2 linked regions of the Cricetulus griseus genome follow. The protein of the gene in region 2 purifies or fractionates together with the protein of the main gene of each other region. This does not show direct contact. Links are inferred from orthologs where the notes say so. Each region holds a gene or a part of one and is shown on either strand. Other genes may lie near its edges.

What was found.
Region 1: the proteins of Rbbp6 (region 2) and Srpk2 purify together in Homo sapiens (affinity purification with mass spectrometry; 4 studies listed by BioGRID and IntAct, with this or other methods). This does not show direct contact. The link is inferred for Cricetulus griseus from reciprocal best matches to the Homo sapiens genes RBBP6 and SRPK2.

The regions. Positions count from the first base shown.
Region 1 is NW_023276806.1:171,088,661-171,105,123, reverse strand, and holds part of Srpk2 (SRSF protein kinase 2), read right to left. Parts: intron 11,484-16,463; coding exon 11,383-11,483; intron 11,290-11,382; coding exon 11,182-11,289; intron 6,098-11,181; coding exon 6,028-6,097; intron 5,440-6,027; coding exon 5,347-5,439; intron 4,976-5,346; coding exon 4,883-4,975; intron 1-4,882. UniProt on the Homo sapiens protein: Serine/arginine-rich protein-specific kinase which specifically phosphorylates its substrates at serine residues located in regions rich in arginine/serine dipeptides, known as RS domains and is involved in the phosphorylation of SR splicing factors and the regulation of splicing.
Region 2 is NC_048596.1:77,703,994-77,720,456, reverse strand, and holds the end of Rbbp6 (E3 ubiquitin-protein ligase RBBP6), read left to right. Parts: intron 1-717; coding exon 718-814; intron 815-954; coding exon 955-1,033; intron 1,034-1,120; coding exon 1,121-1,175; intron 1,176-2,934; coding exon 2,935-3,003; intron 3,004-4,803; coding exon 4,804-5,166; intron 5,167-5,455; coding exon 5,456-5,557; intron 5,558-6,357; coding exon 6,358-8,106; intron 8,107-8,416; coding exon 8,417-9,980; 3' UTR 9,981-10,395; downstream 10,396-16,463. UniProt on the Homo sapiens protein: E3 ubiquitin-protein ligase which promotes ubiquitination of YBX1, leading to its degradation by the proteasome.

The sequences.
Region 1 (16,463 bases), on a different chromosome or scaffold from region 2:
TAGGTATTCTCCTTAACCTGAGTCCTGAGGTCAACCTCAGGCCATCTGGCTTGGGGTGGGGGGTGGGAGGGTTGACAGACAGGTTTTACCTGGTGAGAAATCTGGTAGGCCCTGAATTTAATGAAGTTAAGATTGATATACATCTGTGCACAGCACAGTCCGATGATCCCAATGTACTTGGTGCCCTATGTGAGAATAAGTTTAGGTAACCTATCCCCCTTTGATGAATCCATTTCTGACACAATGAATTCACTAAAACAGTGGCTATAGATGGTCAAGAGAACACAGCCTAGAGACCGAGGACAACTGATTTACTCACCAATCCCCAGGAGTTTGCCACTCACTTCTAGGGAACAAATAAGGAACAAAATCCAGAGTGGTGCTGATTACTACTGGGACACATCTTAACAGTACTCTCCTCCCGTCTTCATTTTGAGAAAGTATTTCACTATGTAGCCCAGGCTGGCCTTCAATTCGAAGTGACTCTCCAACCTCACTACTGTATGTCACACTGAGCAAATTCTAGTTTCTTAATGGTATCAATGGGTAATGTCCACACCCAAGAAAATAACCAGCAAATTAATGTGATGTTGAGTAACCACATTCCTTGTCCCAAAATCCAGTTCAGTTTTTAACCTCTGGCCAAGGAGTAATTCAAACTAGTACTGGTTGTAACTTCTACAATCAGAATAAGAAAGACACTAGGCAGCTGCATCTGATGCTTGATTTTAAAATGGAATGGATAGAAATTGTACATTGGACATAGTGATATATGCCTTCAATTCTAACCCTTGGGAGACACAGGGAGGTGGAACTTCATGAGTTTGAGGCTAGCTGGGTCTACAAAGCCTATTATTTAAAACCAAAACAAAATGATGTCCTCATTCTCACAGACACACTTTGATGACAAGTCTTCACTCCTCCTACTATTGCTGTACATCTGTCCATGTCCAAACGTTTTCTAATTGCCATAGCAATTACAACCAACCAACCAACCAACCAACCAACCACCACAAAAGGAGGCCGGAAAACCAAACTCCTGGTCTTCTTAAGGGATTTCTGGCCTCATTACAAAGTCTCTCATGTCCAAAAGAAGGGAAAAGCATTCTAGTTACCACAGTAACACCAAATCACAACGGTTTTGGTCTCCCGTTAAAAAGAATGTTAAGAATGTACCACAGCATGGTGGTACAAACCTATAATCCCATCATTTGAGAGATTGAGGCTGGAGGATCAAGAGTTAAAAACAAGGAACCACAGATATGTTTCAGTGGTTATGAGCACTTGTTACTCTTACAGAGGACCCAGGTTTGATTTCTAGTACTCATATGGCATCTTATAACCATCCATAACTCCAAGTGGCTCTGATGCTCTCTTCTTACTTCCCTGTACACAAGGCACACATGTGCATATACAGGCAGGCAAAACACTGCATAAAATATACACAAAATAAATAAGTCTTAAAAAGGAGACCAGTGAAACTGTTTTCATAATCTGAGACAGACAGAGGGTGGGAACATAGAATACACTAGCTTTCTTTTTGTAAATCACTTTCAAACAAGTGGCTCAAAAAAAAAAAAACCCAAGCACTTAATTCCTAAAGAACAAGTGCTAAAGATGGTTGTAGACACACCATGCCCACAAATGTCCTGGGAGCAGGGCCATACATGTGAAATGTGCCCATAGTAAACAAAGCCACAGGACAAGCACATCTCCTGGGAATCATGCAGCTCATCATTTACCAACTGTCCTTTGAGGTGAGCTCTTCCAAATGAGTATGAAGATGTGCCATGGCTGCTGTTAGTTCTAGAAGGCATTCAATAGATACCGAATGAATGCCTTACAGTTCCAGACCAGCTACAAACCCTAAGGAGCCTAAGAGCACAGCTGGGCATGGTGACGCATGCCTATGGTTGCAGCCTGTGGAATACGCCTTTATATTGTGTGAATCTATGTCACAGCGACTGGTTTAATAAACAAGCTAACTGGCCAATAGCTGAACAGCATACAGCTAGGTGAGAAAGCCAAACCAAGAATGATGGGAAGGGGAAGGGCAGAGTCAGAGAAGTGGCCAGTCAGAGGCAGAGGGAACAGGAGATGAACATGCCATGTTAATAAAGGAACTGCCATGTGGCAGAGTATACATAGGAATATGGGCTAACTAGAAAAGAGGTAGTTAGAAATAAGCCTGAGCTATTGTCCAAGGATTTATAATTTATATAAGCCACTGTGTGGTAATTTGGAAGCAGTTTCCAGGACAGGAAAACTCTGCCTACAGGGAAGGCTGAGGCTAGAGGATCAGGAAATCAAAAAAAAAAAAAAAAAAGAAAGAAAGAGTGTGTGTGTGTGTGTGTGTGTGTGTGTGTGTGTGTGTGTCTGGGGTGGGGGTGGGGGAGCTAGAGAGATGACTCAGTAGTTAAAGAACACTGGTGGCTGCTCTTCCAAAGTTCAGTTCTCAATACCCATGTGTCAGGGCCCATAAAAATGGTTTCCCTTGGCCGGGTGTTGGTGGCACACGCCTTTAATCCCAGCACTCGGGAGGCAGAGGCAGGCATATCTCTGTGAGTTCAAGGCCAGCCTGGTCTCCAGAGCGACTGCCAGGATAGGCTCCAAAGCTACACAGAGAAACCCTGTCTCGAAAAAGCAAAAAAAAAAAAAAAAAAAAAAAAAAGATGGTTTCCCTTCATCTTGGCTTAAGGTCAGAGAGTTCAAAACTATCCTTACTCTTCCAAGGTTAAAGTCATAAGAACTAAAAGTCTAAGGCATGGCTACTGTAGGATATTTGGTCTTGGTCTTATCGAAATAACAGGGGACTTGATCTAAGGTGTGATTACTCAACCCTTAAGGCCAGATAATGAGATTTAGTTTAAGGAGTGGTTACTAAATGTTTGGAGAACTAAGGAAGAAAGTCTGTTTCTTCTTTGTATATTAATAAAGAAGTCTTTTGCCATTTTCTCCTTTTTGGTTGGGGTGTATTAGAATGTTGAAGAATAAACTTGGGGCATTCGGTATTCTCTGGATTGCCCTCCTGACTCTATTCTGTGTCTCTGTCTTTTCCTTAGTGTATTTACCTGCCTTTTCTCAAGCCACACTCTCCCTCTCAGGCACGAACTAGGCAAGTTGGCTAGATCCCACTGAAGACCCACAAAGGCGGATTACTACAGACTGATGCCACAATGTGGGGCTACTAAGCTACTAGGCTAATACACACACACACACACACACACACACACACACACACACACACACACACACGGCAGCTTACAACTATAACTCCAGTTCCAAGATATCTGATGCTTCTATAGGCACCATGTACATATGTGATGTACATACTGTAAGCAAAACACAAACACACACAAAATAACTAAATGAGAAAGAGAAGGGAGGGAGGGAGAGGAGGGAGGGAGGAACCAGTGAGATGGTTGGCTTAAGAGGTAAAAAGGTTTGCTGAATTTGGTCCCCAGGAATCACATTATTAAAAGGAGAGAAGAAACTGCAAAGGTGTCTTCTGATGTCCCCAATAAGTAAATAAGGAAATAGAATTTAAAGAGAAAGATGAGGAGTGGGAGAATGGTAGGGGAGTTACAATGTAACAACTTAGACTGGACTTTCCATGTCCTACTCAAGCTGAGAGAGAGTGTGGGTGCGTGTGAGAGTGTGTGAGTGTAAGTGTGTGTGTGTGTGTGTGTGTGTGTGTGTGTGTGTGTGTGTGTACACATGTTCATAGGGGGTGAATGGAAGGGCTAGAGGACAACCAAGGGTGCTGTTCCTTAGGAGCTCTTATCTTCTTTTGAGTCCATTCTCTTGGGGCCTGGGGCTTGACATTGTTAGTCTGGCTGGCTAGATCCCCAGGGCTCTAAAGTGCAGTGTTCCTGGTACCTAGATTACACATGCACACACTAACACATCTGACTTTTTTATGTAAGTAGTAGGATTGAGCTCAGTTCCTCAAGCTTGTACAGCAAACACTTCACCAACTAGATTTCTCCCCAGTCCTCAAGTAAACTTTCTTTAAAGAAGGATATAAACAAAACTGAACCTAAGCTGGTAAAAACAATTAACACCACCAAATAGGCTCAAGAGATATTAGCACCTAGGAAGGATTTTTTGTAAAACTCATGTAGCCCATGCTAACCTCTAATGTTTTATGTAGCTGAGGATAACCCTGAATCCCCCACCTTCCTACCTCCCAAGCATGAATTTTAAAGATTCATAGCTTTTTCTGAAGATTCATTTTCTTAGGGTGAGGGGAGCCCCTTGGGGCTTTAAGGTATTTTTAAGCATTGATATTGCCTAGGAACTACAAATGACAACTGTTCAGAGTCACAGCCAAGGGACGGTCAGTGAGAACAACATCATTAAAATCAATCATTGCCTAACACAACAGCACAGAAAGAACGGTATGTGGTTATGTCCACAGGATTTCATAGGCCTACATGATGCCAATAGCTCAGACATATCCAAGAAAATGTCCATGGGTATCTATGAAACCCAATATAGATAGAGAAGTCTAACTTTGTTTATAATCTAGGCTGGCCTTGGATTATTGATTCTCCAACTTCAGCCTCCTGAGTGCTGGGATTACAGATATGAGCCATCATACCCAGCTGAATCTAGCTCTTTCCCAAAACTCACTGGAAGTCCTTTCTACAAATATTTGAATATATAGAAGGGTTGAGAAAGGATTGTTGGAAGCCCGTTTTCTCACAAATGTCTTACTCCACAGATACCAGGTGGTTCCAGATTATTTTATGAGTACCTTCTTCAGCAGAATTCCCCAGTTGCAAAGTCTTGATCTTTTCCACTGCTCAAACATGAATGCACAATTTCTCCTTTTGGGAGAGGATTATGCTGAAAATTAGGGTTGCGTAAATACCGTTACCTTTTCTGGTGAAAAACTCCTTGGAATATTTCCCCAACATAGCGTATTTTCGAGGGACTTTCCCCAGCAGTTCAATGATCAATGCTATGTGATCTGCATTGGGAAACATTGCCAGCAAAACAGAAACACATGACAGTTTAATCAGTACACTGCATGCAGACACTATCACTGCCCGCGCAGACAGAAACGGAGCGCGACCCGAATGACCAATGACAGCCTTTGTCCAGCTGATTGAGAACTCAAAGCTACAGAGCATACAGCTGTCCTGAGCGCCAAGAAGGGGCCACTTCACAGGGCCAGCACAGGCCAGACTCAGTCTTCCTTCAACATTTGCACCGGCACAGATACTCTGCTCAGCTGCTTTTGGAATTTAGAAGAAATGCTTTGGTCGCCATGAACGCTGCTCCTGCAGCGTTCCCATTTCTGTCTGCATCGTGGCGCTTTTCAAAGAGAAGAGGTACTACCTCTGCGATTGAAGAATTCCCGAGAATATTTTCCAGACAGGGCAAAGTGCCTTGGGATACTGCCTAGCAGCTCTATGATGTGGGCTATGTGGTCTATGAGGAGAGAAAAAAAAAAAAAAAGGATATAGGAACAGGGAGGGCAAAGGGAAGGATGGGATAAAAGAAGAGGGGAAAAGTGAAATTAGTAAAAAATCAGAAATAGATTCAAACCAACAATGTCTGCAGCACAACCATGCAGAGATTTCTGGGACTGGCAGGCCTCAGACACCAACTGGAGCCCCATCAGTGACTGCAGGCTACCCCAGCATTGCAAGCAAGGAAGCCTGGAGATGGTCAGGTTACAGAGGATTCAAGTTTGAATTCCCTGGTTGTCAAGTGAGCTCCCAAACAGGACAGAAAATGGGCAGCAGCCGCTGTGGACAAAAGAATCACAGAGTGGCCCTTAGGGCTCAGGAACTGGTCGTCATCCACCAGTGGGCTTCCTTCTCCCAGGAGACCAGGGAAGCTCTGTCAGCTGGGTGCTGCCCACTCACTGGCACTGAGGGGGCTTCAAACTCAAAGGAAAAGCATCTGAATTTGGTGTTTGAAAACCAAAACGTGGGTTCGTTTCAATACAATCCTCTCTAGAAGTTGAGGAGGCACAGAACCACATCAATGTACTCAGTGGGCAACAATACTCACCTTCATCTCTGGAATAGTCTTCCCCAGAATGCGGTTCGAACAAATAGTCTCCTGTTGCCAGCTCAAATGCCTAGGACACAACAGATGACATGCTGAGCACATCAGAGATGGCTCAAGAGCCAGAAGCTCTTTATTAGAGGATGCCTACATTTGCAGAGGACCACAAGCAGACTAAAGACCATCCCAGAACAGCTCAACCCCTAGTTTTCCTTTTTTTCCAGAAAGATCACAGAAGCTGCAGGGATATTTTCACATGTCTTCTAATGGGAGAGGGAAGGGGCACAGCTCTTTTTACACTGTAGGAAGTGGAATTCAGGATCTTTTGGGGTACCAGCTCCCTTGAGATCCTTTACAGGGTCCAGTCAAGATTCTATAGCCTGCAAAGAACAGCAGCAGCACTGGTCACTGCACACTACAGCTTCTACACAGAGTGAAATAAGGCTAAATTCAGGACTCAAGCAGGCCTTTGTGAGTCCAAGGCCCCTTAGAGCAATATTGCTGTGCTTTCTTCAAGCACTTAGGATCAAGGACTAGTTCCAGCATCTTGGTCATCATAAGCTTGCTCATCTCTCAAGCAGAGGAGCACCTAGCACCAAGAGTCCTTTCTCTCTTCTACCAGATGCAGCAAATCCCCCTGCAGGCCCTTCTTAGATGGCAGGGAACAGAACTCTCATGCTGCTATACTCTATCTCTCAGAACATCAGCGTGAAGAAAAGCCCACTCATTTCTACTTCCTTTGCTCATAAAAAAAGGCTTAGGACCAGGAGTCTGATTTTGTAAGATGCTCAAAGACAGCACTTGCTATTGTGCTGATGATCAATTGTCTTTTAAAGGTTAACTCCCATTTCTAGTTTCTCCCAGATTTAATGCTACTGTGGTAGCCTTTCCTGCTTGCTGATGCTTGTGAATAGGTGACCATGCTGATACCTCTCCTTTTTGTGAGACTGACTGCTTTTCCCATTGCTGCTGAAGAGCCATCTCCAGCATTAGTCATCCTCCCTCTCTCCCTTCTGATGGCCAGAATGCTGAGAAGGCTCCTTGAGGCTTATTTACCAGGTAACAGTAGTCTAACAAACAGGGCAGCCACATACCCTTGAGACATGAATTTTATCCTGACTGAGAAGGAGGAAAGCAAGACAAGAAAACTATGATCAGCTGCCCCTGTGCTGAGTATAAACTCAGGACACCTGTCCTGAAGCAGACTTGGGTCTAACAGGGCACTGGATAGTCATCTCAGCAGAAGACAGCCCAGAAGCCCAGCATTACAGCTACAGCAAGGACAAGGGCACAGTGCACAGAGGTTCTCTGGTGGGGCCCCACACCTAGCCACCAAATTAACAAGCATGGCAGCTGGACCAATATGATAAAGAAAACTTTTCATTTGGCCCCAATTCCAAGTGGATGAGAATGTCTCATGCCGGTAAAATAAGTCAATAACCTGCAAATCAGGAGGGAAATTTGGAAATTCTAACAGGATGGAAGAGACTTTAGAAGCTACTGGGATCCTGGTTCCAAGGAAAACCTTCCATCCGAGTTAGTCCCTCTTGAGGCTTGTGCTCACCCTTTTCATTGAGGCTACTTCTCTTTGCCCAACATTGAGATGGGCAAAGACAGATGTCCTTTAAAAGATGGTTGTTTTGAACAGCACTCAGGTTTCCAATGTAGTGCTTAGAGAAGGCTATCAATGAAATGATTTAAAAAGAAGAAGAAGAAGAAGAGGATGGGGCTGGAGAGATGGCTCAGGGATTAATAGCACTGGCTGCTTAAGAGCAGAGGCCCAGGGTTCAGTTCCCACATGGTAGTCTCACAACTGTCTGTAACTACAGTTCCATAGGATCTGATATTCTCCTCGGGCCTCCATGGAATCCACCTACATGTGGTACACAGATATACATGCAGGCAAAGGACCCAAACACATAAAATAAATCTTTTTTAAAGAGGGAAACAAAAAAAGAGAGAGAATTAGAAAAAGAGAAAGGGAGAATGGCTCCCTGGATAGAAAGAGTGATTAGCTTTCTTAATACAACAGACAACAGGGTAAACACACGTGACAATGAAAACACATGTTTAATGCTAGCAGCTGTGGAAACAGGAAACATTATTGCCACCTACTGACTAAGCTGTTCTCTATGTCAAGTTCTATTGTTTGTATTCAATATTAGGCAACTCTGGAGTCTCTTTCTGTTTCCCTGGGTCCTGTCTGTTGTCAGTTCTGGGGGTGCTTAGAGCTGGAGGCTTTTGTCAGTCCAGTGACTGCGGTGGGAGCTTTCCAAAGGAACAAGCCTGCAAGGTTGTGAGTGAAGTCACTGTTCTTCCTAGAGAACAAGCCATGGAGGAGGAAGCAAATACACGTGACAATAATTTGTCCTAAGTTTTGTTTTGTTTTTTTTTTTTTTCATTCTGCTGATAACCAGGACTCACCAGGGAGACACAAGAGCTCCCTCCCCTATTTGGACAAGGACACCTATGTACAAAGAGGTAACACAGAATTCCTGACCCACGGCCTTCTGTATTGCTGAGGACAAATAGCAATTTGCCTTGCCACAGCCTGAAATGGGAGACACACACTGCCCATTCTGTCAAGGAAGTCATTTCCTTCTGACCTGGCCTCTGCCTCCTGTAATTTTAGCCTCTACTTCCTCTACCCTCAAACTGCAGAACAAAAGCCTCTCCACACAAATCCTCAAAAGGAAGTACCTATCACATGGACGGTAGCTTCTTTCAAACACTAAGAACTTGACTGTAGGTTCTTATTGAAAAACAAAAGTTTTTAATAATTTTACATTTATTTTCTGGAGTTACTAGAACAAGAGTCTAGGAAGGCATGGTGTTTCATGTCTGGCCAGGCCACATCAATAATTTCAGATAGTGATAACTTGAAAGATGAAAAGCATCTCATGTTTCTCACATCACCCTGTATCATCTGCTTAACAAAATGCTTTTACATTGGACTGGAGAGATGGCTCAGCAGTTAAGAGCATGTGCTACTATTGCAGAGGACCCAGGTTCAGCTTCTAGAATAATATAGACACGGCAGCTCAGTGGCAACACCAGTCCCAGGGGATGAGACACCCTCTTTTGACCTCCACAGGCACCAGGCATGCATAATGACACACAGATATGAATATGAATATGAATATGAATAGATAGATAGAGAGGGGGTTTTCAAGGCAGGGTTTCTCTGTGTGGCCTTGGCTGGCCTCGAACTCACAGAGATCTGCCTGTCTTTGCCTCCCAAGTGCTGAGACTAAATGTGTGCATCAACACAACTGGCCAAAAGTTTTTAAATAGTTAAAATGGCTTTATATTAGCACTACTGGACATAAAATACAGAAGATTCAAAACAGTGATTAAATTAAGTTCTGAACAACAGGTAACCATCATATTTATTCTGCTCCCTCCTACCTGCCCTTTCAGAAGGTGAGCACTAAGCCTTGCATACTTGGCTAGTGGGGGTGAACCTCTGGGCTCCATCCCTGGAACTACAAAAAACTTAAGCAATACTATAGGATAGCCATGGCAGCACTGGAAGCTACATGAACACACGCATGCCACCTTTTCTACCAAAGAACAACAAAAGCCCAGTGAGAAGAATGTGCTGAACTGGCTGGATGCTCAGTGAAAGACAAACTGGTATTAGCTCACAGGTGAGGACCTACTCAGGGTCACCAATTCAGATCAGAGCAAATAGCAAACGGTACACAAAAGCCTGGTGCAGTAGCTATGTCGTAACCTCAGCACTCAGGAAACGAGTTTTGAGACCAGTCTGGACTACATTTTAAAAATGGGACAAATAAAAAGAGTTGCGCTGAAGCAATGGCTCAGTTGTTAAAGTGTCTACCATGGAAGCCCATGAGTTTGATCTCCAGAACTTACACACACAAAGGCCAGGCATGGCAGCATGGGCTTGTAAACCAGCATTAGAGAGGTGGAAACAAACAAGCCCTGGTGCTCAGTGCAGCCAGCCTAACCTAACCAAGAGCTCTAGAACAATGAGATAGCTTGTCTCAAGAAAACAAGGTGGATGACTGAAGAGTAACACCCAAGGATGACCTGTCTTTTACACTCACATGCATGCATATGTGCACGCAGCTATATACACATGTGTACTTGTGTGCATGATGTGTGGTGAGTCTGGGTTTAGCTTACAAAGACAAAAATTCAGAATGTTCAAATCAAAGGGATGTTCCTGCTGCCTCCAGGAAAACAACACTGTGTTCCAGGGAAACAGACTCAAACCCAGGAAGTCTGTGCCACCAATGCTGTCTCAGGAAAGCAAGCACATGCCAAAAAAAGGGGCAGAACTCTCTGCATTTGAGTTACAATAAAAGCAACTGTGCACTGGCAGATGGAGAAATCTCAAGACCTCTGGGAGAGGCCACCTTCCAGTGGTACAAACTTTTAAGTACAGTCACCCCACTCGTGTGAGAAGGCATTTGGCTTTACCTCATAGTGTAACAGGGAGCCTGATACACGTGAAAACTTCCAGAAACTAAAAGCAATTCCTCCAATGAAGTCTGATTCTTGGGGCACTGGGCTGCACGGTGCCCAAAGAAGAGACCATCTGTCACAGACTATACCTCTAGCATATCTGAGGAGAATTCTTCCAATGCTTGTAACACCCAAGCACAATCTTCTCCTCCCCCACTTTATAAATCTCCAGCATGATTCCACTCATCAAGAGGATCCACCAGAAGTCATTTCCAGGGAAAGAAGAGTGGCAAGAGTGAAAGGTTCAGGCTTTGATGCTGATTGGCTCTACCTCTTTAAGAGACAGACCCTGACCCCTGAACAGTCAGGGCATGCCCAAGAAAACGTTCTACGTCATCACTACGTCACCTGTCACCCATGACGACTCTGGGCATGCGTGGAACCTAAGTGCGCATGCGCAGTCTTCCCTTTAAAAGTCCCAACTTCCCGCTTCTCTCTCTCTGCTTCCTCTCTACTCTCCTCTGTTTCTTCTTGGCTCTCTCTCACCTATGCACTCTCTCTGCCTCTATGACGACCGGCTATGGCAGTCAACCATTACCCCTGTTCCTCTTCTCCTAGTCTTCCTACTCTGCCAGGCCCATATAATAAACTAGTCAACATGTCTCATCCTTCAGCTTTCTCTTTTCCTCTCTTTAAATAAAAACATAACAAAGGGGTCCTCACCATGCAAGCTGTACTCCAGATGTCTGCAGGTGTGCTGTAGCCAGCTCCGATCAGAACCTCTATGGACCTATACTGCCGAGTCTGGATGTCCTCTGTAAAATGTTTATGCTGGAATGGAATAGAGGTGATACATATTGTTTTAAAAGAAGCATGTTCTCACACAATATCATCATTAAAATGTAAAAAGAAAACTCTACTTACCACCCAACAAGCATTTCCCAGATCAGCAATTTTTACTCTAATTTTATCTGCATTCTGTGGATCCAGAGGGTTCACCAACAGGTCAGCTGCCCGGGTTTTTGCTGCCATGAGCAAACAGCAAGATAGTTAGTAAAGGGGACAAGAGGTTTGCATGTGTGAACACATGTTTGCCAGGTACAGTCTCAGTGTCTCCCCCCCCCCTCTTAAGGAGAGTGACACGATAAGCCTAGAATCCTGCAGGTTGAACCACTGGTGAAACATTAAACCCACATAAAAATAAACATAGGTAACCAACTGGTAGTGAACACTATGTAGTTCACCATTCCCTACTCCAGCTTCCTCAACTGAGCACTCAAACATCAAGGGTTAGATGACAACTGATTAGCAAATTTAGATTATAGGCAGGGGCTAATCTTTTATGGCTTGGTTTTGAATGGGAAGATGAAAAATAGTGTTCTAACAAGTTGAAGAGGGCCAGTGTTAGGTCAGATGCCTCAATTTTAGGACGACACACCCAGAGGGAGTCTCTACAGCAAGCCCAGAGCCAGGGCTGCTGGCTTCAGAACATCTCTTGGCTAACCCCTTACTATGCTGAAAGTAGTTATGAGAAGAGCAGCACATTCATCTGTAGAGTTCATCTGAGCCCTTATACACTCAGGGTTTTTGGTCACATTGAAATGGAATTTATAGACTAAACAGAAAACTCAGCTTAATGCAGAACATTAATGCCAGCATTGGGGAGTCATTTTGTTCATGCCAAGTTGATGCTTGTGTGCACTAAGCTGCTTTCGTTCAGTGTGTACTGAACTCAGGAACCACAGTGCTTGATGGGGTTCAGTCTGTTGGTAAACCCCAAAGAGGATGAAAGGCTGGACTTCTAACAGCAGGGCAGACTATAGCACAATACCAGGACCTACACTGTCCAGATAATCCAGAGGAAGGCTACAGTCTCAACTCTAGTCACTGTCTGAACTCCCATGGCTTTCTCTATTTATGAATCAGCTTGGGCTAGACAGGCAGAGAGGTTCTCTTCTTGCAACTTGTCTTATGTCGTATGTTTGAGGATGGCTACTTACAGAGGGTCTTATCAAAGACTAGGTAGGAGCTAAGGAAAAGAGAAAAAACAAAGAAACAAATACCACAGGAACTCAGAAGATAATGATAATGAAAGAAGCAGAATAACCTAAAAGAGAAGGCAGAACGTGGAAATGACAACAATCCTGGTCCCTGATAAGCACACAACACTGAACAACAGATGAGTGACTAGATGAGACACACCTCATATTACAACCCCTCCCCCCAGGGTCCAGAACAGTTTTGTTCAACTGGATCCAAATCTTAGTTTCATACCTGAGAATTGCAAGCCTAGCAAATGACAAATTCTTTGAGACTGTTTTCAGGAAAGAATGAAAAGGACCAGCCTCTGTCCCCAAAGACAATACCACTCCACCCAACCCCACCCCACAGCCCCCCCCCCACACACACACACGTATTGAAGTCAGAACAGTATCTGGCTGAGTGGCCAAGACTTGATTTTGCTTTAGGGTCAGTGAGTAAGCAGGCACCTGAAGCAGCTACACAGACATTCTGTGCCACACTTGATACTAGGGAGCTGGGCTGGCAGATGTCAGGGTACCAGGGAAGCAGGTAATTCATAATCTCCTGATCTCTCCTTGTGGTTGTTTATAAAGACACTTCCAAAAGCTGTGTGATTCAAGTGCATTGGAGGAAAATCGACTTAAGACAGTATTACCATGTGTTTAAACAGGTCTCTGCAGGTAACATTACGCTCACTAAATTAAATCTGGTAACATGTTATTATCCTCTAGTTCCAGGGTATCATAAACAATCATAGGTAATTTGTTTCCATAATTGAATTGTATAAGAACACAACAGGAGATAAAATATATTCTGTGTGCCTCTCTGATTTTCTGTCTCAAATGTGCCAGTTTCCATGTGAGGGAGGAACCTGACTGCAGCACGCAGAAAGCCCACATGAGCACAGATGTACTCACACCTGCTGCAAACTCATTCTTGAGCGTGCCTGGACTCTCACTGCTTCCTTAGATTTCGACACCCACAGTGACCTGTCTTACTTGTCTCTCTGATGATGCTAGCACAGACGACTTACTGGCACTCTCCCCTCTGAAATGAAAAGCTGGTAACTTTCCTCTGCCTCCACCAGAGCATGAATAAAAACTGTCAGGTTTTATTTTAGGAAGCACTGGGATTTTAAGCCACTTTCTCAAAATCTGATCTCTTTTGTCTAGCAAGATGGTAGGTGATGAGACAGCTGCCAGTATTGTGTTACGCACGACATGTTTAAAAACATCCTAAAACAAAGGATTTTGTTTTCTCCTCATCTGGAGAGAGGATATATAGCCTCTCTCCAGATCAGGGTCAGAACCGGGACCAAGAAAGTGGAAGAACTGTAACAATTAACACGAGTACCTGACCCATTCCTTACCAAACACTTGCCAAGGCACTTCTATAAGCTAATATGGTGCCACAACACAGTAAAAAGACACACTAGAATTAGCAAACTCATGTCATACACTGGTTGGAAATACAGCCAGTAATAGCCAGGCAGTGGTGACTCACACCTTTAATCACAGCACTCAGGAGGCAGTTTGAGGCCAGCCTGGCCTACAGAGTGAATTCCAGGACAGCCAGGGCTACACAGAGAAACCTGATCTCAAAAGTGTGTGTGTGGGGGGGAGCGCACAGAGGGAGGGGGAGGGAGGGGAAGGGAGAGGGAAAGGCAGGGAGGGAGGGAGAGAGACAAGGAGGGGGGTAGAGAGACAGGGAGGGAGAAAGGGGCGGGAGGGAGGAAGGGAATATATATGTAAGGATAGAAGCAATCCATATTAACATGTCAGAAAACTAGATATGCCACAAAGAAAAACAAAACTAAGAAGAGAGATGACTGAGAAAGTGATGCTGAAAATCTTTTTTTCTCTTTTTACATTTATTTATGTACTGTAGAGGGGTACAGCACTTGTATGGTGGTCACAAAAATACCTGTGTGTCCAGGGGATTGAATTCAGGTCCTTAGGTTTGGAGGCAAGCACCTTTACCTATTGTGCCATCTTGCCAGCCCCTGAGAAAACTTTTCTGGGAAGGTGGCAGTCAAGGAAAGCATGAGATGTCCAAGGGAGAGGAGACAGGTACTGCAAAGACCCTTACCCACGTCCAGCACACAATCCATAAAAGTTTGAAGAGCCCACCAGCATGGGTAGTACACAGACATCAGCATACTGTTAGGAATTAGACTGTGGAGTGTTCAGCATTTACAGAGGGATGTGAGAAATATAAGCTAGTTAGATCATTTGGGGCCAGGGAGATGGTGATGGGATATGCTTCAAAAAGATACATGTGCACTTCTAGACAGAGAAAAACCTAAGGATTAACAGCTAAAATACAATGTCCATGCCATGGCAGCCTGCTAAGGACTGACTGAGAGGATTATGGAGTGAGAACTCCAAAGCGACCAAGCAGTCAAACAAACAAGACCATGAGATATGACCTAAGACAATCTCCTCATCTCAACCACCAAGAGCTATCAAATTACTTGCAAATCCACATCCTTCCACCTGGCATCTAAGTTCTTCAAACGTCATAATTTGGCCCTAGTCTGCCTTACTATTCTCTTATGTGTACATCTTGCTCTAATGGCAAAACCAGCACAAACACACATCAATGCTTACATTGGGAGTGGGGAGGGGGTTTGCACTGCTCTGGATCAGGGAAAATAAAAAAAAAAAAAAAACTATTGTCAAACTAAAGAGAACTGAATATGGAGTGAACAACAAAAATATCTTTAGTTAATTCTCCAGATGATAAATGCTTAACTGTTTAGAACTATCCTAATATCTATAGCATGTAGTTTCTATATAATATACACATACCATGGCAAAATGTTAATTCTGAATATAGTAGAGGATATATAGCTATTATATTTGAGCTAGACTTTCAAAATAACTATTTTATTATACAAAGGTGTCCTAATAATTCATTTCTGTACTTCAGTTGATTGTTCCGTTGCTGGTGGACATATGCACCACTGTGTTGGACCCCGTAAAGAATTAGGAACAAGGGAATTTGTCTGATTAGCATGATGTAAAACTCCAGCAGGAACCTGGGAGACTGATTTGGAAGGAAGTCAGGAATAGGTGGAGACAATACACAGACAGAAATGAGCCAGAAGCCTCTGCAACAATAAAGCCGAGCAATGATCTGTCCCTTAGGGTCAAGGCAAGGAGAGTCCTACTTTGAGAAGGGGCTGGCAAGGGTCTCTGGTTTGCTTTCTATTGCTATAATAAAGCACTGACCAAAGCAACTGGGAAGAAGAAGGGGGTTACTTGGCTTAGAATTCCACATTACAGACCATGATTGAGGGAAATCAGGGTAGGGAGTCAAGCAGGAACCCAGAGGCAGAAAACAAAGCAAAGGCGACAGAAGAACGCTGCTCACTGACTTACTCCCCACAGTTTTCTCAACTTCCTTATACAGCCCAGAACTACCTGCCTAGGGGTGGCATCGCCAAAGTAAGATTGGCCATCTCAGATCAATCGTTAATTAAGAAAATGCTCCACAGATATGCCTACAGGCCAATTTGACAGAAGCATTTCTTCAACTAAGGTTCCTTCTTTTCAGGAGACTTGTTTGTGTCAAGTAACGAAAACCACCACACAGGGTATAAGCAGAAAATAATGGGACAATCAACACAATACCAGCATGTTCTAACTATGATCCACAGCTGCCCTGCACACTGCGAGTCACTCCCAATAGGGAATGAAAGCACCAGGGCAGATCCACCGCATTCTCCTCGGGCCCCACATCCCCACATGCTGCTGTGACTCACTAGTTACTGAGTGAATGAACAGGGACTGAGCCACCAATGCATAGAAGCCAATGGAAATCATGGGCAGGCACAGGTAAGTCAGAAAAAGACTACAGCATAAGAAGAATAAGGTCAGAACGGAGATGGGGGTGGTGTCAAAAATTAAGATGCAGAAAACCTGGTAAAAGTCCCAAAGGAACAACAAAGCAAGCAGAAACTGCAAAAACGAGGAAGACAG
Region 2 (16,463 bases):
GGTATCCCACTGTTCTAGTTCTACCTTTATTTAATCAATAAAGGAAAGAAGGGAATACAGAGAGTTCTCTTAGACTATTGTTCTACTGTAAAATGCCCTCTTTGGCTTTCCTTTTTTTGTTTTTCGAGACAGGGTTTCTCTGTAGCAGTCCTGGCTGTCCTGGAACTCACTTTGTAGACCAGGCTGGCATAGAACTCACTGAGATCAGGCTGGTAGAGCACTCACTGAGATCTGCCTGCTTCTGCGTTCCAAGTGCTGAGATTACAGGCATGTGCCATTACCACCTGGCCCTTGACTTTCTTATTTTGAAGTCTTAAATTTTTGCACTTATTTTCTAGCATATGTATCATATGTAAAATGTCTTCAGGCAATTCCTTTTTTTTTTTAATAGTATATATGTATGTGTGGGCATGCAGGCATGTGGCTGCCTCAGCATGTATGTAAAGATAGAACACAGCTGTAAGGACTTGGTTCTCTGTGGACCAAATCCCAGTTAGGCCTGCATGCAAGTGTCTATACTACTAAAGCATCTAACTGGCCCAGGCATTTATGTAATGTATAAAGAGCTTTTTACAGCCTATCCTTTCACTCATCTCAGAAGTTGTCATGAACTCATTTTAATGCAGGATACATATATAAGCAATATTAGTGATTGTTATCATTTTACTCATTATCGTCCACCCTGGTGATGTTTTGTTATGTTATATTGTTTTCTAGGGATTCTGATAATAAATTATTACCAGCTGCCGCCCTGGCATCAGAACATTCTAAGGGGGCCTCCTCAATTGCAATTACTGCTCTTATGGAAGAAAAGGTAGATTTTACTGGCTTTAGAATCTAGTTTTTTACAGATTTTTGTTGTTTTGTTTTGTTTTATTTTTGCTTTGACTTGTAAAACTTAAAAACTATTCCTATTTTTTGTTTTGTTTGTGTGTGTATGTGTGCTTCTCAAAGGGTTACCAAGTGCCTGTCCTTGGGACTCCATCTTTGTTGGGACAGTCATTATTACATGGACAGTTGATCCCCACAACTGGTAAGTAACATTATTTTGATTTGGACCCTTTTCCCTTTAGGAAATTATTAACAGTGAATCTAACATTCATTCTTTTTTATTTATAAGGTCCAGTAAGAATAAATGCTGCTCGTCCAGGTGGTGGTCGACCAGGTTGGGAACAGTAAGTACATATTCAGAATAACCTTCAGATACTTGCCTTTGACCTAAAAAGTAGAGACTACAAATTAGACAGAAGCTTGGTGAATGGTTATTATAAACTCCTTTAAATATGCCAGATTAACATACTTTTAAACGTCACAATTCAAATTTGCATCTCCAATTATTATCTGAATGAACAAATGTATTTGACACTTGAAAAACTTGGGGGCTAGAGACACTGACATCCATACAATTGAAAATATACACATAACTATGTTTGTGTCTGTCTGTGTGTGTGTTTGTGTCTGTGAGTTACTGGGAATTGAACCCAGGGATTTAGCATGCTAGGGAAGTATTCTGCCCTGGAGCTTTGCCCCCAGCCCATTACATTTAATTCTCCAAAGCTTTACTCATAGTCAGTCTCTTGACTGGCCTTCCCCCAGTACCATAGTTGATTGACTCCTTATATGTACTATATGTGGTGGAAAATGTATGATACCCAATTTAGCAAAAGTAAACCACACATGGAGATCATTAGTACCTCCCAGTGCTTTAGATAAATGCTTAGAGAGTAGAATTCCAGAGGCACCGTGTATACAATGATTAATTTTAACCAGTTTTGATCTAGTATTGCATCTTTGACTTTTCTTGGCTGAATAATGCTGTATATAGCCTACATAGGTTTAATAAATTTTAACTTTATGAGGTTAGATGCTTTGTGGCTTAAGAAAAAAAACAATAAAATGGACTTTTAGCAATATTTAATGTATTCATAACACCCTTTTCAATTCTTTACTATTTTCAAGCTACCTGGTCTGTCTACAAATTTTTCAAATTGTCATAAATCTAAAAAAAAAAAAAAAACCACAGTAAGTGTGCTCATAAAGTTAAAACTCATTTCAAGGTCACCTTGTAATTCTTTTCCAAAATAGTAAAATACAGATTGATAAGTCCATTTCTTCCTAAGAACATACGGATCTTGATAGGACCTTAGATTAGTGCGTTGATCCTATGTGTGAGTTTTCTATATTTTTATTTTCCTAAATGGTTGAACTCATCTTATTTGGATGGGCAAAATACAGTTTAGTAAGTAAACACATTGCAAGATTAATGTCTACCACAAGAGTTCCTCATTTTTTTTCTGGCTTGTTAATAGTTATTGAAATCTACAGGATTGTATGATTTTCTGCCCTGACACACAAAGAATATTAATGTCTGTAAGATGCTTTATGGCATTAAAAATTAGTAGATTTGGGCTGGAGGGACAGAGGACCTGAATTCAATTCCCAATACCCCACAGCCATCTGTAACTCAGCTCCAGGGGATCAGTGCCCTCTTCTGAAACTTCTAAAGCCACCAGGCATGCAAACATGCATGTTAGAGAAAATAGACTGAAGAGAGATTAGCAGAATATATCAGTAGAAGAACGTGAAATTTAGAGACAGACATACCTGAGTTGGCATCTGTTTACTGAGTATAGGACTGTGAGCGTGTAGGTTTCTCCTCAGCCACCTTTTTTTTTGTTTGTAGCACTCAAAAGCATGTAAAATACCTACATAGAGCCTTGCAAATTAAAGGTCCCTTTTCTAAACATTAAGTCTGTAGAGTGCTAATGAAAATATAGAATATTTTTTAGCTTAGATCTTTAGAACAATTTTAAGAATTCAAGATTATGAAAACATTTTCAAAAGTTAAAATTCTTTCAAGTATATGCACTGATAGGTTATATATTAAACTTAGAAATACTCAATTCTGTTTTTCTCTTTCTTCATCTTGCACAGTTCCAACAAGCTTGGGTACCTGGTTTCTCCACCACAGCAAATTAGAAGAGGGGAAAGAAATTGTTATAGGTAAGCATGCTGAAACTGTTGGAAAATAATTCCATGGCACACTGGGTAAAGAAGTAAAACACAGAAGTGATGAGGAAGGAGATATTTAAGTCTTTAGCAGTTGTCCTTAAGTAATCTAGGAACTAGGGGCTATATAGTTCAGTGATTAATTTCTGCCTAGCCTATGTTAAGTCCTAGGTTCAATCCCCAGCAGATGCAGTATAAAATCTCATTTGAAGTTATGTTTACAAAAACTGTTTATTGCTAAGTGTAGTGCACACATGTAATCCCAGCATTTGGGAGGCTGAGGCAGGCAGATTGTGAGTTGGAGGCCAGCCTGAATGACATACCAAGACCTGTCTGTGGAGGAAGGGCAGGAAGGTAGTATGGAAAAGCAGAATATAGGACAGACGAATTAGCACAATGACAAAAATTTAAGTCTCCATCTTTGGTATGTATGTGAACATGCATGCTTACAGAAGCCCATGGAGGGTGTCAGGTACCCTGCTCTACTATTCTCTGTCTTATTCTTTTGAGAAAAGATAACTCACCGAAACCGGAGCTAGACCACTAGGCAGCAAGCCCCAGCAGTCCCCTGTTACCCCTCCCAACACTGGGGTTACATATAGGCATGCATGGCCACACATTACTTTTTAGGTGGGTGTTGGGAGTTTGGTTGGGCTCAGTTCTGTGCACTTGTGCAAGCTCTCTTACCCACTCACTGAGCCATTTCTTTGGCCCATCGGGCTCTGTTCTTTGTATTGTTTCCAATGATTACTTGGTCTGTATCAGTACATGGCAAGATACAGCTTATGAAGGAAAGTTAGCCAGTTCAGCTCCCAGATGGGAAAAAGTATTGTGTTTCTTTCTGTCCCAACCTTCTTTTCCAAAAGAAAAGTCCAGGAGATTTGTTGGGGTTCTTACTCCCAGGAAGCCATAAGTTTTACTATGGTGGTGATTATTTAAATCAAGGTTCAAAGACTTCCAGATTTGTTAAGGCTATTACTGATCTTCTAGTGCTCCATTCAGAATTGCTAATCTTATGACAGTTAGATGCCTTTGTGACTAGATTGCATTAAAAGAAGTTGATGTGTACCAATTCATGGTTCTGAGCACATTTAACCCTAAATGCCTGCTGTTGCTGTCACATACCATTTGCTTATTGTATAAAAAACCATTAGCTTAACAAAAGCACACACAGATTCTTTGAGACAGTTCAGAAACTTTAGCACTGTTACTTCAGTTTATAAGGGAAAACATTGACATTTTCAGTTTTGATTACAAGTACTGGAATTCATATGATTCTGTTTTGTTTGGTCTTCACCCACTTCCTCCAAAAGGAAGTTACAGTGGTTTTTAATGTGAATTTTGGGTCTAGAAAGGCATTTGGGAGAGACCTAGATCACAGCCGTGTTAACCTGTCACTTCCTTCAAAATATGTTTCCTGTTTGTTGCTAAGTGACCTTAAAAAGTAGATCTTGGAGCTGGAGAGGTTTAGTGGCTAAGAGCATATGATGCTCTTGCAGAGGATCCACGATTTTGAAATACAGTTAGTTGAGAGATTTTTGTTCTGAGCAAGTTTTTGCTGTTACTCAAGCTGGTGTCAAAAGTGATTGTCCAGCCTCCTGAGTAGTTGGGACTGTAGACCTACATCACCATACTTGGCCTGTAGAGTTCATGTATACAAATACATCTTGATTTGAGTAGTTGATTCTATTCCATTTTTTTATACTTTGGAAAATAAGAACAGAAAAAGACAACCTCATTTGTCTCAGATGAATTTAATTTAAAGGTATAATACCTTGGAATTTATTTCTCCAGAAGTATAAACCGCGGGCGACACCACAGCGAAAGATCCCAGAGGACTCAAGGCCCATCACTACCAGCAACTCCCGTCTTTGTACCTGTTCCACCACCTCCTTTGTATCCGCCGCCTCCCCATACACTTCCTCTTCCTCCAGGTGTACCTCCCCCACAGTTTTCTCCTCAGTTTCCTCCTGGCCAACCCCCACCTGCAGGATATAGTGTCCCTCCTCCAGGGTTTCCACCAGCTCCTGCCAATATATCAACACCTTGGGTATCATCAGGAGTTCAGACTGCTCATTCAAATACCATCCCTACAACGCAAGCACCACCTTTGTCCAGGGAAGAATTCTATAGAGAGCAACGACGACTAAAGGAAGAGTGAGTATTTTCATTTGAAGTTGTCATACACTTTTTCATTTTCTGATACAACATTAAATAGGTATTTTGGAAACATTTTCCAGTGTTTCCAGTTAGTAAAGAAAGTTCACCTAAAATTTAAACCAAAGCCATACGAGCAACTTCGTCAGGGATACCTAGTTATTTATAGTTTTAAAGTAGAGAACTAATGGCAATTTCATTCATTTCATTCATGATCTAATTACATTTGTCTTGTTAGTTTTCTTAAATGGTTTTTGTTAACTTTCACTCTTTAACTTTATTTTACTAGGGAAAAGAAAAAGTCCAAGCTAGATGAGTTTACAAATGATTTTGCTAAGGAATTGATGGAATACAAAAAGATTCAAAAGGAGCGTAGGCGCTCATTTTCCAGGTTAGTGTTTTGCAAGCCTTCACAACAGAATTACAAATGGGACTTTGAATATCCAGGGATTACCTATGGATATAAATAACACTGCACTTATGAGATTTTTCTGATTCGGTCTAGTTTTATAGAATGGAGAAGATGTAGCTTATTCCCCAATATGTCCATTAAAATAATGTCTCAGTGTAAATTCTATTGTGTAGAACTAGCATTTGTGGGGACTAAATTGTCCTTGTCCCTTGAAGTTATTTATAATATGAAATAAATGGGGAATGTTTATGGAAGGAAAGACATAGGGAACTAGCCAGAGAGCATTCTGAGGGCCTTTGCCATAAAGCTACAGCTTCTTGCTGGAACATTAACCTGTGTGATTAAAAAGCAGTGGTAGAGTACACATTGTTGTATTGATAGAAAAAAACTGAATTACAGAAGTTCCCTGGAAGTTTTTTGTTTTTTAGACTTAAATTTAAAATGTGGTTCCTTTTAAAGCTAGACTGTTGGCTAGTGTAAGATAAAAATAGACTCCTAGCTTAAATAATCAGACAGGAAATTTAAATTTAATTGGCATTTGTTTAATGTTAATAAGCTCATAAAACTCTTGGTACATTAATGCACTCCACTGATTGTCAATACTTGCCTTTTGTTTTGTAACAAGTGGTTTATGTACTTTATTCCATTCCAGTAGAGGTCACTGTGCCTCTTTAATCATCTAAGTTGAAACTTGATGCAAAGAAAGATAAAACTGTTAGAATCTATCTGTTTTTATTTTGTATATATTTCTCAACCATCAACTGTGTTTTTGTTTTTAGGTCTAAATCTCCCTATAGTGGTTCATCGTATTCAAGAAGTTCATACACTTACTCAAAGTCAAGATCTGGCTCGACACGGTCACGCTCTTATTCTCGATCCTTCAGCCGCTCACACTCTCGCTCCTATTCACGATCACCCCCATACCCCAGGAGAGGCAGAGGCAAGAGCCGCAATTATCGTTCACGGTCCAGATCTCATGGATATCACCGATCTAGGTCAAGGTCACCTCCATATAGACGTTATCATTCAAGGTCAAGATCTCCTCAAGCATTTAGGGGACAGTCTCCTACTAAGCGTAATGTACCTCAAGGAGAAACAGAACGTGAGTATTTTAATAGATACAGAGAAGTTCCACCCCCTTATGACATTAAAGCCTATTATGGGCGGAGTGTCGACTTTAGAGACCCATTTGAGAAAGAACGCTACCGAGAATGGGAGAGGAAATACCGAGAGTGGTATGAGAAGTACTACAAAGGGTATGCTGTGGGGACACAGCCTAGACCCTCAGCTAACAGAGAGGACTTCTCTCCAGAGAGACTTTTACCTCTTAATATCAGAAATTCACCCTTCACAAGAGGGCGCAGAGACGACTATCCTGCTGGACAAAGTCATAGAAATAGAAATCTAGGTGGCAGCTATCCAGAAAAGCTTTCAACAAGAGATAGTCACAATCAAAAAGATAATACAAAATCAAAGGAGAGTGAGAACATTCCAGGAGACAATAAAGGAAACAAGCATAAGAAACACAGAAAACGAAGAAAGGGGGAAGAGAGTGAGAGCTTCCTGAACCCCGAGCTGTTAGAGACCTCCAGGAAATCCAGGGAGTCATCAGGTGTTGATGACGCTAAGACAGATACATTGTTTGTTCTCCCAAGTAGAGACGATGCTACACCTGTTAGGGATGAACCAATGGATGCAGAATCTATCACTTTCAAATCAGTATCTGAAAAAGACAAGAGAGAAAAGGATAAGCCAAAAGTAAAAAGTGACAAGACCAAACGGAAAAGTGATGGATCTACTACAACCAAGAAAGAAAATGTTTTAAAACCTTCTAAAGGACCCCAAGAAAAAGTAGATGGGGAGCGTGAAAAATCTCCTCGGTCTGAACCTCCACTTAAAAAAGCCAAAGAGGAGGCTGCAAAGACTGATTCTGTAAAACCTTCATCATCGTCTCAGAAGGATGATAAGGTCACTGGAACCCCCAGAAAAGCCCACTCTAAATCTGCAAAAGAACACCCTGAGACAAAGCCAGTCAAGGAGGAGAAGGTGAAAAAGGACTGTTCCAAAGACATCAAGTCAGAAAAGCCAGCTAGTAAGGATGAAAAGGCCAAGAAGCCTGAGAAAAATAAACTACTTGATAGCAAGGGAGAAAAAAGAAAGAGAAAAACTGAAGAAAAGAATGTAGATAAAGATTTTGAGTCATCATCAATGAAAATTTCTAAAGTAGAAGGAGCTGAAATAGTGAAACCATCGCCAAAGCGAAAAATGGAAGGTGATGGCGAAAAGCTAGACAGGACCCCAGAAAAGGACAAGATTGCATTATCAACTGCCCCAGCCAAGAAAATTAAACTCAACAGAGAGACTGGGAAAAAAATTGGAAGTGCAGAAAATACATCTACTACAAAAGAACCCTCTGAAAAAATGGAGTCAACATCTAGCAAAATTAAACAGGAAAAAGTCAAGGGAAAGGCCAAGCGGAAAGTAGCTGGAACTGAAGGCTCCAGCTCCACACTTGTGGATTACACCAGGTATGGGGGCCTGGGGGGCAGGTGTCCTTTTTGGGCAGTGATATCCTTTGATCTTATACACTTATGTTCTTGAGAGCCTGGTTCATGGCAATTCAATAGACTAGCCTAGTAGCAGCATAGTTTCAGGCTAGGTTATAACAAGTTGGATGAACCACATTGGTTTTTATAGTTTGATCATGTGTGTGTTTCTTAGAGCATAATTTAATTTTTTTAAAGCTAAAAAAGACATCCTATTTTAAGCTGGCTTTTCAAATTTTTATTTATCATTAGTAAATTTCTCATTAATTAAAAGTATATTCATTTATTTTAGTACAAGCTCAACTGGAGGCAGTCCTGTGCGGAAATCTGAAGAAAAGACAGATACAAAGAGGACAGTCATTAAAACTATGGAGGAATATAATAATGATAATACAGCTCCTGCTGAAGACGTTATAATTATGATCCAGGTTCCTCAGTCCAAATGGGATAAAGATGACTTTGAATCTGAAGAAGAAGATGTTAAATCCACACAGCCTGTACAAAATGTAGGGAAACCATCTAGTATCATAAAAAATGTTACTACTAAGCCGTCCGCTCCAGTCAAGTACACTGAGAAAGAAAGTGAGCAGTCAGAGAAACTTCAGAAGCTCACCAAAGAGGTGAGCCACGAAATGACGCAGCATGAAGTCAAAAGCTCAAAAGGCTCTGCATCCAGTGAAAAGGGGAGAACCAAAGACAGGGAGCACTCGGTGTTAGAGAAGGAAATCCCTGACAAGAGAAAGAGCAGTGCCCAGCCAGAGAAGGAGAGCACCTCAGACCGTCTGAGTGAACAAGGAAATTTTAAGAATCTGTCTCAGTCTTCCAAAGAGACCAGGACTTCGGATAAACATGAATCTGTTCGTGGTTCCTCAAATAAAGACTTCACTCCTGGAAGGGACAAGAAAATAGACTATGACAGCAGAGAGTATTCTAGTTCCAAGCGAAGAGATGAGAGAAGTGAGTTAGTAAGAAGGAAGGACTCTCCTCCTCGAGGTAAAGATTCTTCATCTGGACAGAAAGGTAAGCCGAGGGAGGAGAGAGATTTGCCTAAAAAGGGGACAGAGTCCAAAAAAAGTAATTCTAGTCCCCCAAGAGACAAAAAGCCTCATGATCATAAAGCCCCCTACGATACCAAACGCTCATGTGAAGAGACAAAGTCTGTAGATAAAAACTCTGGGAAGGAACGGGAGAAGCATGCTGCTGAGGCTAGAAACGGGAAAGAGTCCAGTAGTGGTGGCAAGTTGCCGTATATACCTAACCCACCAGACCCTGCAGTTGAGAAAGAAATGGTTGCTGGACAGATTGATAAGAGCACCATCAAGCCAAAACCCCAGTTCAGTCATTCCTCTCGTCTTTCCTCTGATCTAACTAGAGAGACTGATGAGGCTGCTTTTGAACCAGACTATAACGAGAGCGACAGTGAGAGTAACGTGTCTGTGAAGGAAGAGGAAGCTGTGGCCAGTATCTCCAAGGACTTGAAAGAGAAAACAACAGAGAAAGCAAAAGAGAGCTTGAACGTAGCAGCAGCCATCCAGCCAGGTGCAGACAGGAGCCAGAGTCAGAGCAGCCCCAGTATTAGTCCAAGTAGAAGTCACAGCCCTTCTGGCAGCCAGACCCGAAGCCATAGCAGCAGTGCCAGCTCAGCAGGAAGCCAGGACAGCAAGAAGAAGAAGAAGAAGAAAGAGAAGAAAAAGCACAAGAAGCATAAAAAGCACAAGAAGCACAAGAAGCATGCGGGTGCAGAGGCCGACGCCGAGAAGAGCCAGAAACACAAACACAAGAAGAAAAAGGCAAAGAAGAGCAAGGACAAGGACAAGGAGAAAGACGACCAAAAAGCGAAATCTGTCACTGTGTGAAGGACGGATGTTTTAATTGACTTAATTACTAAGTCATCTGTATTAAACTCTGTTATAATGTAAAGAGATTCCAGCCTTGTAAATAATGAATGGAAGACCCTGTGCTGCACTTAAAAAGTATTTGCTGCTTGATTATTTCATTTTTACATCAGAGCTTTATAACGAACTTTTGTACAGAATTGTGAGCTGTGACCATGGAACATGAGAGGTTTTGCTAGGGCCTATTATTTTTAACCACCATTAATTAGTTGGGGTGGAGTTTACTGTACTGTGAAATTTTCACATTTGAATTTTTTTAATTGCCTGGCAAATGCTGGTATCAGTTCAAAAATATCAGCAGAATGATTTGCTGAACTCATTACAGCCCCGTTATGTCACTTTTTGATTACAATAAAAGTTTTCAGTAAACTTCTTACATGTTGAAGATGTACATTATTTAGAGACAATAGTGTCTCATTTCCTCTCTTTCCAATATCCTTCCAGCCTTTATAGACAGAATTCTAAACATTCCAAATGTACTTCAGAGGGGGCTGGTAGAAAATCCTCATTTCTGATAATTAGAAGTTGGGTTTCGGGGGCTAGAGGTTAAGAGCACTGACTGCTCTTCCAGGGGTCCTGAGTTCAATTCCCAGCAACCACATGGTGGCTCACAAGCATCCGTTATGAGATCTGGTAACCTCTTCTGGCCTGCAGGCATACATGCAGATGGAACACTGTATATATAATAAATATATCTTTAAAAAAAAAAGTTGGGTTTCTAAAAAGGGGATGGGGTGCTTTCATCTTAGAGATGAGGAATTGGGCCTATTTTCTAGCTGTTTTGTATTTTTTGTTTTGCATTTCCCCTTGGAATTCTGCTACATTATGCTAAATTCCTTGAAGAAACAGAAATCATTTAAGCCAAGTGGTTTTGTCTGTCCTCTCCCCACTGACAAAAGTAAGTGGTCATGAGACTAGCCTCTCCTCTGCTGCTTTAGGAACCCAGTGATGGCACCAAACTCAGGTCCTGTGTAAGAGCAGCAAGCACTGTTCACCACCATGCCATCTTTCCAGCTCCTGAGAGCTGGTGTAAAGGAAATTAACACAAGTGCCGAGGGTATGAAAGCCATCCAGGCCCAAGTTCATTTTGGAGATGCTGCCTTTGAGCCCAAATACTTTTGGTGATGGCTCTCTCTGCCATAATGCCAGTGGCACTTGTTTGTCCCCACATATGCCTGATGTCTGGAGTGGCATGTCCTGACCACTCCTGCCTGCATGCCACTTAAGCTTTGAGATAATCCAGCTAGATTATACTCTTAATTCTGGCTGATCAGATCTATAACTTGATCCTGTTTCCCACATCCATTGTAGATTTGGTACACAGAACCATCCTATCTGATCTGAGTTTCTCACATTGGGCTCATTCTTTAAGCTTAGCTGGCCTGCACTTGAGTTGCAGCCCACTCCTGTGACAGTTTCCTGGCTACTGACCATGTGAAGGTGTTGTTCCTTTGCAATTATCAGCACTTGTCCAGCTTCATCAGTTAGTGTTTGAACTCCTTAGTCCTTTCCATTATTTTCTTGTGACCTATACCTTTTCATATGTCAGCGTCCACAGAACCTATGCCTGCTTAACAAAATTGAAAGCCTTGACTTTCAAACACTCAAAAGCTGGAGACCTGGCTCAGTGTGTTAAATGCTTCCATAAGCCTGAGGACTTGAGTTTGAATGCTGCAAACCCAAGTAAAGCCAGGACCACATATGCATCTGTAATCCCAGTGTTCTTACAATGATGAGATGGAGGGTAAAGATCAGAGATTGTCCAGAAGCTTGTGTAACTGTATGTGGCAAACAACAGACACTGACTCCAGGTGGAAGAGAAGGTCCAACCCCAGGCTTGGCCTTTGACCTCCATTCACATCAAAGACATTTTATTTTGTATGTGACTATATAGGTGTAGAGATTGGAGGACAACTTGAAATAGCAGCCAATAAAAAGATTTTTGCTTTTTAAATTACTATTTGATCTTTTTGTGTGCATACCCCCATCCCAGTACACCGAAGCTCTTCATCTTTTAAACTGAAGTTAGTCATTAAGGCACTTTCCTCAACCGAGAGGCACACCACCTGAGAGGAATTGTGCCATTAGAGGGCAGAAGCAGCTACTGACGGTGGTGCTCTCAAACAGCAACGCTCCCTCTGTCCACAGCTTGTTAAGCTATACAGAAGCACAAATAGCCATTTGATTTATAAAAGTTAAATGTCGCTGACAGCAAAACAAAAAATGCCAATGCAAGTTGCATTATCACTGGGTGACGGTGGTGCACGCCATTAGTACCAGCACTCAGGAGGCAGAGACAAGAGGATCTCCCTGAGTTTGGCCTCATTGCACAGAGAAACCCTGTCTTGAAAAACAAAAACAAAAAAGTTTCATTGTCTTCATAATTGGATTTGGGAAGGCCCAAACCAACACATTGGTGCACCTCTCCCCACATCCATTCAAGTAAAATTTTACCACTGGCTTAAATCAAAATGGCCCTGCACAATGCTTATGTATAAAATGTCTAAAGTTGAGAACCAACGAGATGGCTCAGCATCATTGAGTTGCCTCAAAAGCCTGATAACCTGAATTAAATCCCTGGGGCCCACATAAAGGTAAAGGGCAGAACAGACTCCATAGACCTTTCCACCTGTACTTGACATTCACGAAGCCCCTCCACACACATGATAAGCACCACAACAATAAAGACAATATAAAACACCTCAAAATTGAGTCATTTGCTAAAGTAAGGTTCCTCATAAAATTTTATTTTATTTTATTAAAATCTCTCATTTTAGAAAATGGTTAGCAATGGATCCAAGAAATATGGCTTCCTCTCAGTACTTTCAAATGAACCAAGGGTTCCATCTATCTTACTTTTCTCTTCCCAGTTGGGTTATTCCTGCTATAGCTTTTTTCTTCCTATTGAGCAGAAACAGGCTGTCCCTCTAATCTTTCCACAAAGCTACCATCCTGCCAACTCCTGGGAATTCACTCTGGCCCTACGAACCTTCTCATCAAATTGTTGTCATCCACCCAGGAGTATCTTTTTTTTTTTTTTTTAGGTATTTTTACTTTGCTTTTTTTTGGGGGGGGGGGGACCTGAAAATAGATTTTTTAATACAATATATTCTGATTACACTTCCACCTCCCCCAGCTTCTTCCAGCTCCTCCTCACATCCCTGCTCACCCAAATCCACACTCTTTCTCAGTCTCAATAGAATATAAACAGACATTAAAAATAATAATAAGATAAAATAAAAATCAGACAAACAGAGCTAGGACAGAACAGTGTCATCTCTCGTTGTTTGGAGTAGGGGATGCATGCTCTAGCAAATCTCTGATTAGGTTTCTCAGATGGTAAAAATGTCTAACCTGTAATTTCAGAGATTCTCTTACCCCTTGGATTCTGTATAAAAATTATCTTCAGTCATACTTAGAGAAATTCTTTACTACCACTTCTGATATAAAGAGTTCAAAGCCATTTGACTAATCCATTTCTTTACAGGATTTTTTGTGGCACTTCCTTTTATTCTAAGTACATTTGTTTTTACATTTTATTTTTGTAACTGTGTGTGTGTGTGTGTGTGTGTGTGTGTGTGTGTGTGTGTGTGTGTGTACAGGCAAATGCATGGGATGAGGGTGGAGGGGAAACCAGTGGACAGTGTCCACCATTTGGGACTCAGGGATCGAAGTCATATCCTCTAGCTTGGTGGTAGCTAGCTAACTACCTTGCCAGCCCTACCTTTGTTTCTGAGTTGTATAAAACATCTGATGTCTTGATCTCCATGGGGAATTTGATCATCATCATGATGTTAGAGTTCAAGGTGCCAGAATTACCAGAAGAGGGCATCAGATCCCCTGGAACTAGATGGTTGTGAGCTGCTGTGTGGAAGCTGGGTGTTTTGCCTACATGTATGTGTAGGTGCCAGGAGAGGTCAGAAGCGGGTATCATCAGATCCCCTCGGACTGAAGTTGCATAGAGTTGTTAGCTGTCATGTGCTCTTAACTGCTGAGTCATCTCTCCAACCCTTTTTTTTTTTTTTTTTTTTTTTTTTTTTGGTATTTTTTTGTTTGTTTGTTTGGTTTTGGTTTTTTTTTTTTTTTTTTTTTTTTTTTTTTTCGAGACAGAGTTTTTCTGTGGCTTTGGAGGCTGCCTGGAGCTAGCTCTTGTAGACCAGGCTGGTCTCGAACTCTCAGAGATCCGCCTGCTCCAGCTTCCTGAGTGCTGGGATTAAAGGCGTGCAGTACCACCCCCCGGCTTTGTTTTTTTTTTTTGGCAAGGGAATGTTTCATGTCCCCGAACCACCTGCTGAAGAACTAATATTTGCCCTGCTGATATTTTCCAAAATCACCCGATAATTGACATAAAGATTTATGTCTGGATTCTCAGTTTTATACTATTGATTCCCATAGATAGACATATAAATAATGGTATGTATATATGTCTACAGATATTTACCTATGTACCAGTTCCACTGTGTATGGGATGTTTTAAAATTAGGAAGTGTGACTTCTCGGACTTTGTTCTTAAATTTTTAAAAGATTTATATATTTTAAAAAATGTTTTACGTGTTTGGTTGTTTTGCCTGCATATATGCATATCACATGTATGTAGTGCCTGCAGAGGCCAGAAGAGGACGACATGTCCTCTGGAACAGGAGTTATAGACGGTTGTGAACCACGGTGTAGGTGTAAGGAACTAAATTAGGTTCTCTACCAGAGTAGACAGTGTTTTGACTGCTGAGCCACCTCTCTGGCAAGTGTTCTTATCACTGAGCCACCTCTCCAGCGAGTGTTTTAGAAATTTTTAGAGACTGTTTTGGTTATTCTCAGTCCCTACCATTTCCATAAAATTTTAGGCTTGTCTATTTCTGAAAAAACAATGGCTAGGATATTACTTTTGATGCTATTATAAATTGAGTGGCTTTTAAAGCTTCATTTGCCTTTAGTTTAAAAAAAAATACCTGTGTGTGTGTGATTGCATGCACATACCATGGTAAATCAAAATGCAATTTTCAGAAGTTAGTTCTCTTTTTCTACCACGTGAGCCCAGGGATCCAGCTCAGATAGTCGCCCTTGGCAATAGATCCCTCTTCTGACTGGTCATCTCTCTGTCAATGTCTTCAAACAGTGCAGGATTTTTACTTGTAAACATGCTTCTTTAAGGTTAAAGGGCTTGAAAACCCAACAGAACAAAAAACAAAACAAAACAAAAGAGGTTAAAGGGCTGTCCCAGCAGTTTTGGGGACCTGGGTTCAACTCCCAGCACACACCTGGTGGCTCACACCACTCTATAACTCCAGTCTCAAGGGATATGACTGCCTTTTCTGGCCCCTGAAGGCACCAAGCACACATGCGGGGCACAGATATACATGCAGACAAAATGCTCATACAGATAAAAATAAAAAATAAACTTTTAGAAAAATAATACTTCTTTCTACTCATTTATAAAGTATTTGTAATTATGGAAGGATGCTGGATTTGATCAAATGCTTTTCCCAAAGCTTTTGACATGGTCATGAGGGTTTCATCCTTATTTTGTTAACAGAGTATTGTTTCATTTGCTTTCTTACGTTAATTTAAGTACATTTCTGGGCTAAATCCCACTTGTGTATACACACACACACACACACACACACACACACACACACACACAGACACACACGGAATAAAATAAAAGTCAATCCTGAATTCAGTTTGCTGGTATTTTCCCACCTATAGAGCTATTGGTTTCTGGTTTTCTGTACCACTGTTTTGGTATCGGGCTCATGCTGTTCTCATAAAACGAGTTTGAAAGTGTCAGTGATTCTTTTTGAGTTAATATTTATGCATAATGCAATGTCCTGGTCAGGGGTCTCCTTTGGCATATGAAAATTAGTTGTGTTGTTGCCATTTGTTTAAAAGGATCTACTGTATCTGTTGTGGTGCCCCTTCTGTTGTTGGCCATTGGGTCTCTCTATGAACTCTCTGGTCCCCTTATTTTTCATGTCTTTGCATTTGCACTGTGATATATTGATTCTTTAATCCTCCAAAATTAGTTTTATTGAAAGTTTTATTCTTATTTTCTACATCCTTTACTTTTCTATGAATTTTAGAATTGATGTCTCAATATTTTGATTGCAATAATGTGTATAATACAATATTTCCCATATTAGTCATTTTTAGATTGCCTGTCACAATGTTTTTATGAACACTGGAGGATGGAGAGATGGCTCAGTGGTTAAGAGGGTTTGCTGCTCTTTCAGAGAATCTGAGTTCAGTTCACACCACCCAAGTCTGCCAACTCACAACCACCTGTAACTCCAGTTCCAGGACTCCCTCTTCTGGCCTCTGAGGGAGCACACATGCACACACACACACACACAGAGGGACATATACACAAATAAAAGTCAATCCTGAAAAAAACATTCACACTGACATACACACATAGACAATATTGACCTTTAGAACTTTCTCATTCCA